Cricetulus griseus: one gene and its partner. Each later gene encodes a partner of the first gene's protein in a complex. Links are inferred from orthologs where the notes say so. Each region holds a gene or a part of one and is shown in the gene's direction. Other genes may lie near its edges. The genes, in order: Csf3r and Csf3.

Evidence for each region.
Region 2: the proteins of Csf3r (region 1) and Csf3 are in contact, whole or in part, in a crystal structure (PDB 2D9Q), measured with the Homo sapiens proteins. The link is inferred for Cricetulus griseus from reciprocal best matches to the Homo sapiens genes CSF3R and CSF3. Residues at the interface, in NP_000751.1 of Homo sapiens: Arg164, Arg190, Lys191, Leu193, Leu194, Leu195, Tyr196, Gln197, Asp220, Met222, His261, Ile262, Asn263, Arg311, Pro313, Leu314; in NP_000750.1 of Homo sapiens: Ser42, Leu45, Lys46, Glu49, Gln50, Arg52, Lys53, Leu141, Asp142, Asp145, Thr148, Thr149, Gln152.

What each region holds. Positions count from the first base shown.
Region 1 is NC_048595.1:27,024,618-27,028,526, reverse strand, and holds the start of Csf3r (granulocyte colony-stimulating factor receptor), read left to right. Parts: upstream 1-1,252; coding exon 1,253-1,316; intron 1,317-3,110; coding exon 3,111-3,410; intron 3,411-3,909. UniProt on the Homo sapiens protein: Receptor for granulocyte colony-stimulating factor (CSF3), essential for granulocytic maturation. Plays a crucial role in the proliferation, differentiation and survival of cells along the neutrophilic lineage.
Region 2 is NC_048600.1:111,783,351-111,787,259, forward strand, and holds the start of Csf3 (granulocyte colony-stimulating factor), read left to right. Parts: upstream 1-990; 5' UTR 991-1,656; exon of another isoform or gene 1,657-1,881; 5' UTR 1,882-2,250; coding exon 2,251-2,290; intron 2,291-2,366; coding exon 2,367-2,557; intron 2,558-2,906; coding exon 2,907-3,014; intron 3,015-3,137; coding exon 3,138-3,284; intron 3,285-3,511; coding exon 3,512-3,670; 3' UTR 3,671-3,909. UniProt on the Homo sapiens protein: Granulocyte/macrophage colony-stimulating factors are cytokines that act in hematopoiesis by controlling the production, differentiation, and function of 2 related white cell populations of the blood, the granulocytes and the monocytes-macrophages.

The sequences.
Region 1 (3,909 bases):
GCACAGACAAAGGCATGGTGGCTGTTCCAGGAGGTTATGCGGACAGGCACTAAGTCTTGGTAGTTCCATTGGCTGATTTCCTTCTTTAGGGCTCACCCCGATAGCCACTGCTTCTGAGAGCTTGTTCCTCAAGCACAGTGTCAAAGGCTTTAATCTTAACTGTCTCACTTTGTCATTACAGCCCTGCTGAGACATGAGTGTTACTGTTAATCGCCTTTTTGCAAATGGAGAAACTGAGGCTCAGAAAAGTGAAGAAACTCATCCAAGTTCACCAGGCAGGTAAGTGTCGGAGCCAAGGTCAGAATTGGGCTCCCGGCCTCTTCATATACAGTAGGCATGGGCTCCACCAGGCCCATGCTCCTACTCACCTAGGACCACCCTCGGGGCTTCTGGAGAGGATGTACTGATGCCAAACATGCCCATCTCAGGCATCTGCATTCAGATGCCTGCTCTTGACATAAGCCCGTAGGAAGATAAGGTGGTACCTGGAATAGGCTAGGCCTAGGTACAACCACAAATGAGTAGAGGCAGAGCAGCAAGGTCGTTCCCCCTCAGTGTGGACACGTGTGTACATGTGGTGACAGGTGTGCTGATATGAGGTTACTTTCTTATTTAAGGTCTACTATTGCTGGGAGAAAACATCCTGGTCGAAAGCAACTTGGAGAAGGAAGGGTTTATTTCAGCTTACACTTCCAGGCAACAGTCCTTCATTGAGAGAAATCAGGGCAGGGACTTGAGGCGGGCACCAAAACAGAAGCCATGGTGGAGTACTCTTACTGGCTGGCTCCCCACAGTTTGCTCAGCCTGCCTTCTGATAGCACCAGGACCACCAGTCCAGGGGTGGCACAGGCCACAGAGATCTGAGTCCTCCCACATGGAGCATTAATCAAGGCTTGCCCACAGGCTAATCTGGTGGGGGAATTTTCTCAACTGAGGGTCCCTCTTCCTAAATGATGCTAGCTTGTATTAAGTTAACACAAAACTAGCCAGTATGAGGATTAGTAGACAGAGATGTCCTGGGCGAGAGGGAAGAAAAGCTTGTGTTCCTAGTGGCTCTGATCTGGGAGGCAGGTTTCACCTTGTGATATAGTGAGGGAGGGAGAGAGAGAGAGAGAGAGAGAGAGAGAGAGAGAGAGAGAAGAGGGAGGGAGGGTGTGTCATTTCCTTAATGCTGAGCTGGGAGAAAGCTCTGGCTGCAAAGTTTGCTCTTAACCATCTCTCACTGCCTCCAGGTAAGCAGCAAGTTGGCACAATGGTGGGACTGGGAGCCTGCACCCTGACCGGAGCTGCCTTGATCCTCTTGCTACTCCCTAAAAGTAAGTGGGGGCTATGGAGGAGTATTAAAAGGGAGGTACAGGTGGCCATGATGCTGTGTGCCAGACTCTGGGAGTATGGTCTCTACATCACAGAACTTAGAAGCAGCAGATCAGTCACGATTCTAATTACAAAGGGATGGAAGAGCTCCAGGATACAGTCTGGCTCACCAAGATACGCACATGCTAACGTGGTGAGAGAGGGTCAGAAGAGAACCATGAAGAGGGAAACAACAGGAGCAAAGATCCACAGATACGAGGTTTCCTGTTGTTTCTTCAGGAAGAGACCCAATGTCTGGGAACAGAAGCCATAGTCTGAGCTGAAACAGTGAGATTGAGGCCAGGGGCTATGTAAAGTGTGTGGAACTTTGTCCTAACCTTGACTGAGGGTAATGACCGGCCACCTATGGTTCTGCACAATTATGTCAGGACGTCTGATCCTCTCAGCTGTGCGGTGGTGGTGCATGCCTTTAATCCCAGCACCCAGGAGGCTAAGGCAAGTGGATCTCCATGAGTTCAAGGCCAGTCTGGTCTACAGAGTGAGTTCCAGGACAGCAGGGTTACACAGTGAAACCCTGTTTCAAAAAAAAAAAAATCTCCCAGGGACACAAAAGTAGTGCTAGATAAGGAAGGAAAACAAGCCTGATGCTGACTCCCCATAGACAGGCATTGAGACTTACTGCCAGTAATTAGGTCCTTAATAATGCCAGCCACCCAGCCACAGGAGGCTGGGATATGGTGGAGTTCCAACAGCAGCCCACAGAACAGAGGAAATTCTTTTAGAATGGAGGGGTCTCTGACTAAAGCAGATTAGTGGTAGTGCTGACTAGGATATAAGGCTATAAAGTAGGAAGCTAACCCTAGTCTCATCCTACCTGATGGCTGTCACATGCCACGATCTTGGCAGCTTTGGGAAGGGACTGGATGGATGTAAGGCATGACTGATGCACCCTGCAGGGACAGCTCTGAGATCTAACTGGTAGCAACTGCTTTTTATCTCCATTCACAGACAAAAGTAGTAAGACACAGGGAGTCCCACTTACATGTACTAGGGTCACTAATAATAAGTAGGACACGCTGTCTAGCCCTTGTGTCTAAGCTCATCAACCCGTGAGCTTAGCCACATGTGCTTGAAGTGTCACAATCAAGATGGGCTCTTACAATCAGATCTGAACTTGGCAAGGATTGCTGTGGCCTTAGGGGGTTCTTATCACTCTGATTGTGGCTTTTGCTGCCCAGTCCCTCCCTAGTGAGGAATTGGAGTTGTCTAAGACTGCATTCATAACTGCATTCAGGGAAGGCAAATGTTCACACAGAGGGGAGCACATATATCATGGGGAAGGTGTTTACGTCACAGGAAGTGTTTATACCCCAGGGCATGTTCACATCATAGAAAGCATTCACAGCATGGGACACATTCACAAGATAGGAAGTGTTCATAGCCCAGGGTGTAGTCACACAATAGGAAGGGTTTATACTTCTGGGAGTGTTCACACCTCAGGGGGCGTTCACACTGTAAAGAGGGTTCACACCAAGGGAAGTGACCAACACAAAGCAGGATCTGCTTTTCTCTGCAGAGCCCGTCGGTAACCATTTACAGACACATGGCTGTCTATCTCTCCCTATAATGCATCTTGCAGGCCCCATACTTACTCTTCACGTTTAGTCCCCATGTCCTTCCAGACGGGACAGTGAAAAGGCAAAAGAGGCCTCTGAGGTTAGGAGCTCACAGGTCTTCACATGGCCCATGTTGGCCTGGCAGAGGAGTCCTCCAAGGCCCACCCTCTACCAATCCAGGTCTGGAGAGCTGTGGGCACATCAGGATCTCAGTCCCCGTTGTCCGCCTGGGGGACCCCGTCATAGCCTCCTGTACCATCAGCCCAAACTGCAGCAAACTAGACCAAGAGTCACAGATCCTATGGAGACTGCAAGATGGACCAAACCAGCCTGGAGACAGACAGCGGCGTCTTCCTGATGGGAGCCAGGAATCCACAATCACTCTGCCTCATGTGAATCACACCAAGGCCTTTCTCTCCTGCTTAGTGCCTTGGGCCAACAGCTTCCAGGTCCTGGATCAAGCTGAGCTTCAAGCAGGCTGTAAGTCCCTCCCACCATCCACCCATCTGCTTCCAATGCCCCTCTGCCTGAACCAGGGAAAGCAATAACCTCTTTGTGAGCAGGACAGAGGGTGTGGTTCTTCCTATCAGGTGTTATTATTTAACCCATTCTCCAGATTAGGAAACTGACATCTAGAGAGGAAAAGGAAAAGGAACTCCACAGTGTTCCTTGTAGAAATGCTTCTCTGCATGAAGCTCGGGTCCTTAAGAGGAGCTCCCTTCCAGCTGCTCCTAAGCCCAGTCTCAGTTTTCTTTCCAAATTCAACAGGATGGAGTTTGTGTCAAGACGAGGTATAAGGAGCAAATAAGAACAAAGGCATAATGGCACATTTATAATCCCTGCAGAGGAAGGTGGATCTCTGTGATTTTTTTTTTTTTGAGACAGGGTTTCTCTGTGTAGCTCTGGATGTCCTGGAACTCATTCTGTAGACCAGGCTGGCCTCGAACTCACAGAGATCCACCTGCCTCTGCTTTCCAGG
Region 2 (3,909 bases), on another chromosome or scaffold:
CCCTACTGGGTCCTATGACTTCCCTGCCACAGACATCGGCCATGATTCCAGCACTAGCCTGGATTCCCCCCTGCAGAGCCAGCCTCAAACCCAATCAGGAAGCCACTGGTTGCTCTTGCAGACTCGCCACTATTGCATGCTGGAGGCCCTAGGTTCACGCTTTGCCTGGCCAGTTGGTAGTACAACATTCAGAGATCATAGCCGAGTAAGACAGTGGATGACAGTTCTCTCAGCAACCTGCACAGCTCCTTCATGCATTGTGAGCTCTAAGCAGCAAGGAGGAAGCCATCAGGTCAGTTCCAGCTTGACTTCTGTGTCTTGTGACCAGAACCTGTGCTGTCTTCAGCGACAGAGTCTTGTCTTTTTTTTTTTTTTTTTTTTTTTTTTTTGGTTTTTTGAGACAGGGTTTCTCTGTAGCTTTGGAGGCTGTACTGGAACTAGCTCTTGTAGACCAGGCTGGTCTCGAACTCACAGAGATCCGCCTGCCTCTGCCTCCCGAGTGCTTGAATTAAAGGCGTGTGCCACCACCGCCCGGCTAGCAACAGAGTCTTAACCACTGAGCTCTGGTTAGCAACTAGCAGCAGTAGCAATTTCTTCATGTTGTGTTGACCCTCCAACCATAAAGTTGTTCCATTCCATAAAATTATGAATTTTAAAATTCATAACTGTAATTTTGCTATTGTTATGAATTGTAATGTAAATATCTGCTATGCAGGGTATTAAGCATGCAGCCCTTGGGGATCACAACCCACAGGTTGAGAACCACTGAGCGAGTGCCAGGACAGGCTCCAGAGCTACACACAGAAACCCTGTCTTGAAAAACCAAAAAAAAAAAAAGAGAAAAGAATGGAAATCTCTTGCCCTGTCCTTCCAAGCAAAGATAGGTAGATGATGTCCACGACTGTGGCCACCAGAGGGCACCCTAGCCCCAGGAATGGCCCCGCCCAGTCAGCTATGCCTCAGCATCCAGAGATGTCTGTTCCTTGGGCCAGAAGGTGGTAGTGAACTAGCTCAGAAAGTGATAGCTTGAGATTTGATCAGTCAAACAAGTGGACCCTACTCCTCTTTAGGCAGTTAACACCCTGTTGGAACTGAAACAGAGGCTGGGATGTCCCTCCAACTCTACTACTCATGACTGGGCAAGGCATTTCCCTCCGTGGCCCAGTTCACAGGGTTGAAAACTCAAAGTCTCTTCCAGAGCTAACACCAGGACAGAGTTCTAGGATTGGAGATGCATCTTCTCCTTTCTCGTTCCAGCCTGCGTCCACTCAAGCCAGATCACTTGCTTCTATGGTGTATCGATCTTCCGGGACCCTGCATGTCCCAGGCCCCGACTCCAGATCCCCCAGACTCTGCTATGGTTGGGTACTATGCCAGGAGAGTAATGCAGGGAAACAGACAGGCAAAGTCAGGTGGGCAAAGAGCCCCAAAGGGTCTTGATTCATTCAAGGCAGACATCCGGTTTCCTTTGGCTGCTCTGCCGGGATCCAGGGGTTTAAATGAATGAGTCATCGTGGTGGGTATTGGGGAGTTCCCAGATAATCAGCCTGGGACAGGACAGCCTGAATGCTGGATCATTTTGTTTTTATCCAAATGTGGAGTGGACACAGAAAACAATACCCTAGGGTGCTGTCCAGGGCTCCTCCTGGCACTGAAGTAAGCAGCCACCTGGGAGCTCATGGGTACAAAATGAGAACAATGGGCTCTTCTTTCTTTCTCAGAATGTTTGTCCCCAGGTAAAGGTATTTTAAGAATCACAGGAGAAGGGTAGAGGGTTAGGGTACTGGCTACCTCTGCATGTCTGGCAGAGGGTAGAGAGATAAGAGCAACTTTGACCTGGGGCCTGATTCTTCCCAAGGTCTGACTGAGTTCCCTCTGTAGCCTCCAGGGCTTCGCCAGCACTTCAACCTCGTTGGACTACTCAGATTAAACACCCTGGAGTAATTCAGGCCTGGGTGTGGCTGGAGGAAGAGAGTTTGGGGGGGACAAGACGTCAAGGAAGGAGCAGAGATTCCCCGATTTCACAAAACTTTCGCAAAACAGCCTTTTCCCAACCCCCTGCATTGTCCTGGGTGAGAGAAGAAAATTTGCATAAATCCTGGGAAGTTATTACTAAGCCTGAGTTGCCCCAGCCACAGGTAATTTCCTCCCAGGCCTTGATGGGGTTATGTATAAAAGCCCCCTGGAGCAAGGCCCTGGCAGAACCCAGAGCTGAAGCTCAGATCACCCAGAATCACCCAGAATCAATCCATGGCTCAACCTTCTGCCCAGAGCCGCAGGAAGCTGATGGGTGAGCGAGCGGCCCTGATTACCTGCCCTGGGCGTGGAAGGGAGGGAGGGAGGCTGGGGTGGCAAGTGTCTCAAAGCTGTACATCTGCTGCCAGCCTTACAGCTGCTGCTGTGGCACAGTGCACTCTGGACAGGACAAGAGGCCATTCCCCTGGTCTCTGTCACCTCTCGGCCACCACCCCTGCCTTGGCCCCGGAGCTTCCTGCTGAAGTCCTTGGAGCAAGTGAGGAAGATTCAGACCAGGAACTCGGAGCTGCTGGAGCAGTTGGTGAGTTAGGCTTGGCAGGTGTGGAGGAAAAAAGCCTGTGTGTGTGTGGGGGGGGGGGCGGACACAGGAGGGCAAATGGGAAGGGAGCAGGCTCGGGAGAAAGAGCAAGGGCAATGTTTGCCTAGTGTGCACAAGGGCCTGGATTCCATCCCCGAAATACTCACAAAACCCTGAGGAAGGGAGCATGGGACATGAAGGGGACATGGAAGAAAATGAAGAGAAGCAGCAGTGGGACCCTCTGGTTGGGACAGTAGCAGGGTCACTGGGAGTCAGGTGGACGATGGGGAGACTTGGGAGGGAGAATCAGCCTGGCCCAGGTGAGTGCCCCTCAGCGTCCCTCTGTCTACAGTGTGCTACTTACAAGCTGTGCCACCCGGAGGAGCTGGTGCTGCTCGGCCACTCTCTGGGCATCCCGCAGGCTCCTCTCAGCCGCTGCTCCATCCAGGCCCTGCAACTGGTGAGTCTTTGGAAGGCAAGGGGGACCAGGAGGAGAATGAGAAGCCCTGGTATTAGGGCTCCTGGAGAGAAGGAGTATCCCATCGCATAGCCTAACTGTCCTTACTGTCCCTGCTGTCCCCAGACAAAGTGCCTGAGCCAACTCCACAGTGGACTCTTCCTCTACCAAGGCCTCCTGCAGGCCCTAACAGGCATTTCCCCTGAGCTGGCCCCCACCGTGGACATGCTACAGCTGGATGTTGCCAACTTTGCCACCACCATCTGGCAGCAGGTGAGCTTCATCTGGAGGGGCAGGGGGTAAGAGTGGGGGTAGGGCCACACCAGCACCCCTGGGCACCCTGGAGGCTCTCAGTGGCCTGTTGTGTGGGGAGCCCGACCTCTATCCCTCTGCTTCCTTGGGGTGAGAGGAATTGCTGTTGATAGCAAGTCCCACAGACCAGCTTATCAACTCCCTACCTACAGTAAGGACTGATCCCTGACTTCATCTCCTCCCTACAGATGGAATCCCTGGGGGTGGCTCCCACTGTGCAGCCCACCCAGAGCACCCTGCCAACCTTCACCTCTGCCTTCCAGCGCCGGGCGGGAGGTGTCCTAGCCGCTTCCCACCTGCAGAGCTTCCTGGAGACAGCTCATTGCACCCTGAACCATCTGGTCTAGGCCTGAGCAAAGCCATTTGCAGCAGGTTTATTTATCTCTATTTAATATTTATGCTTATTTAAACCTACTATTTAAAGACGGAGAAGAGAAAACGGAGCTCCAAGCTTCTAGGCCCTTCTCTCCACTCTTGAGTTTTGTTCTCCTGCTTGTAGCAGTGAGGACAAGCTCTTGTGTCCTCCTGTCCCCAGGGCTGGAGGGAGATAGGTAAATACCAAGTATTGATTCCTGAGGCTGCTCCA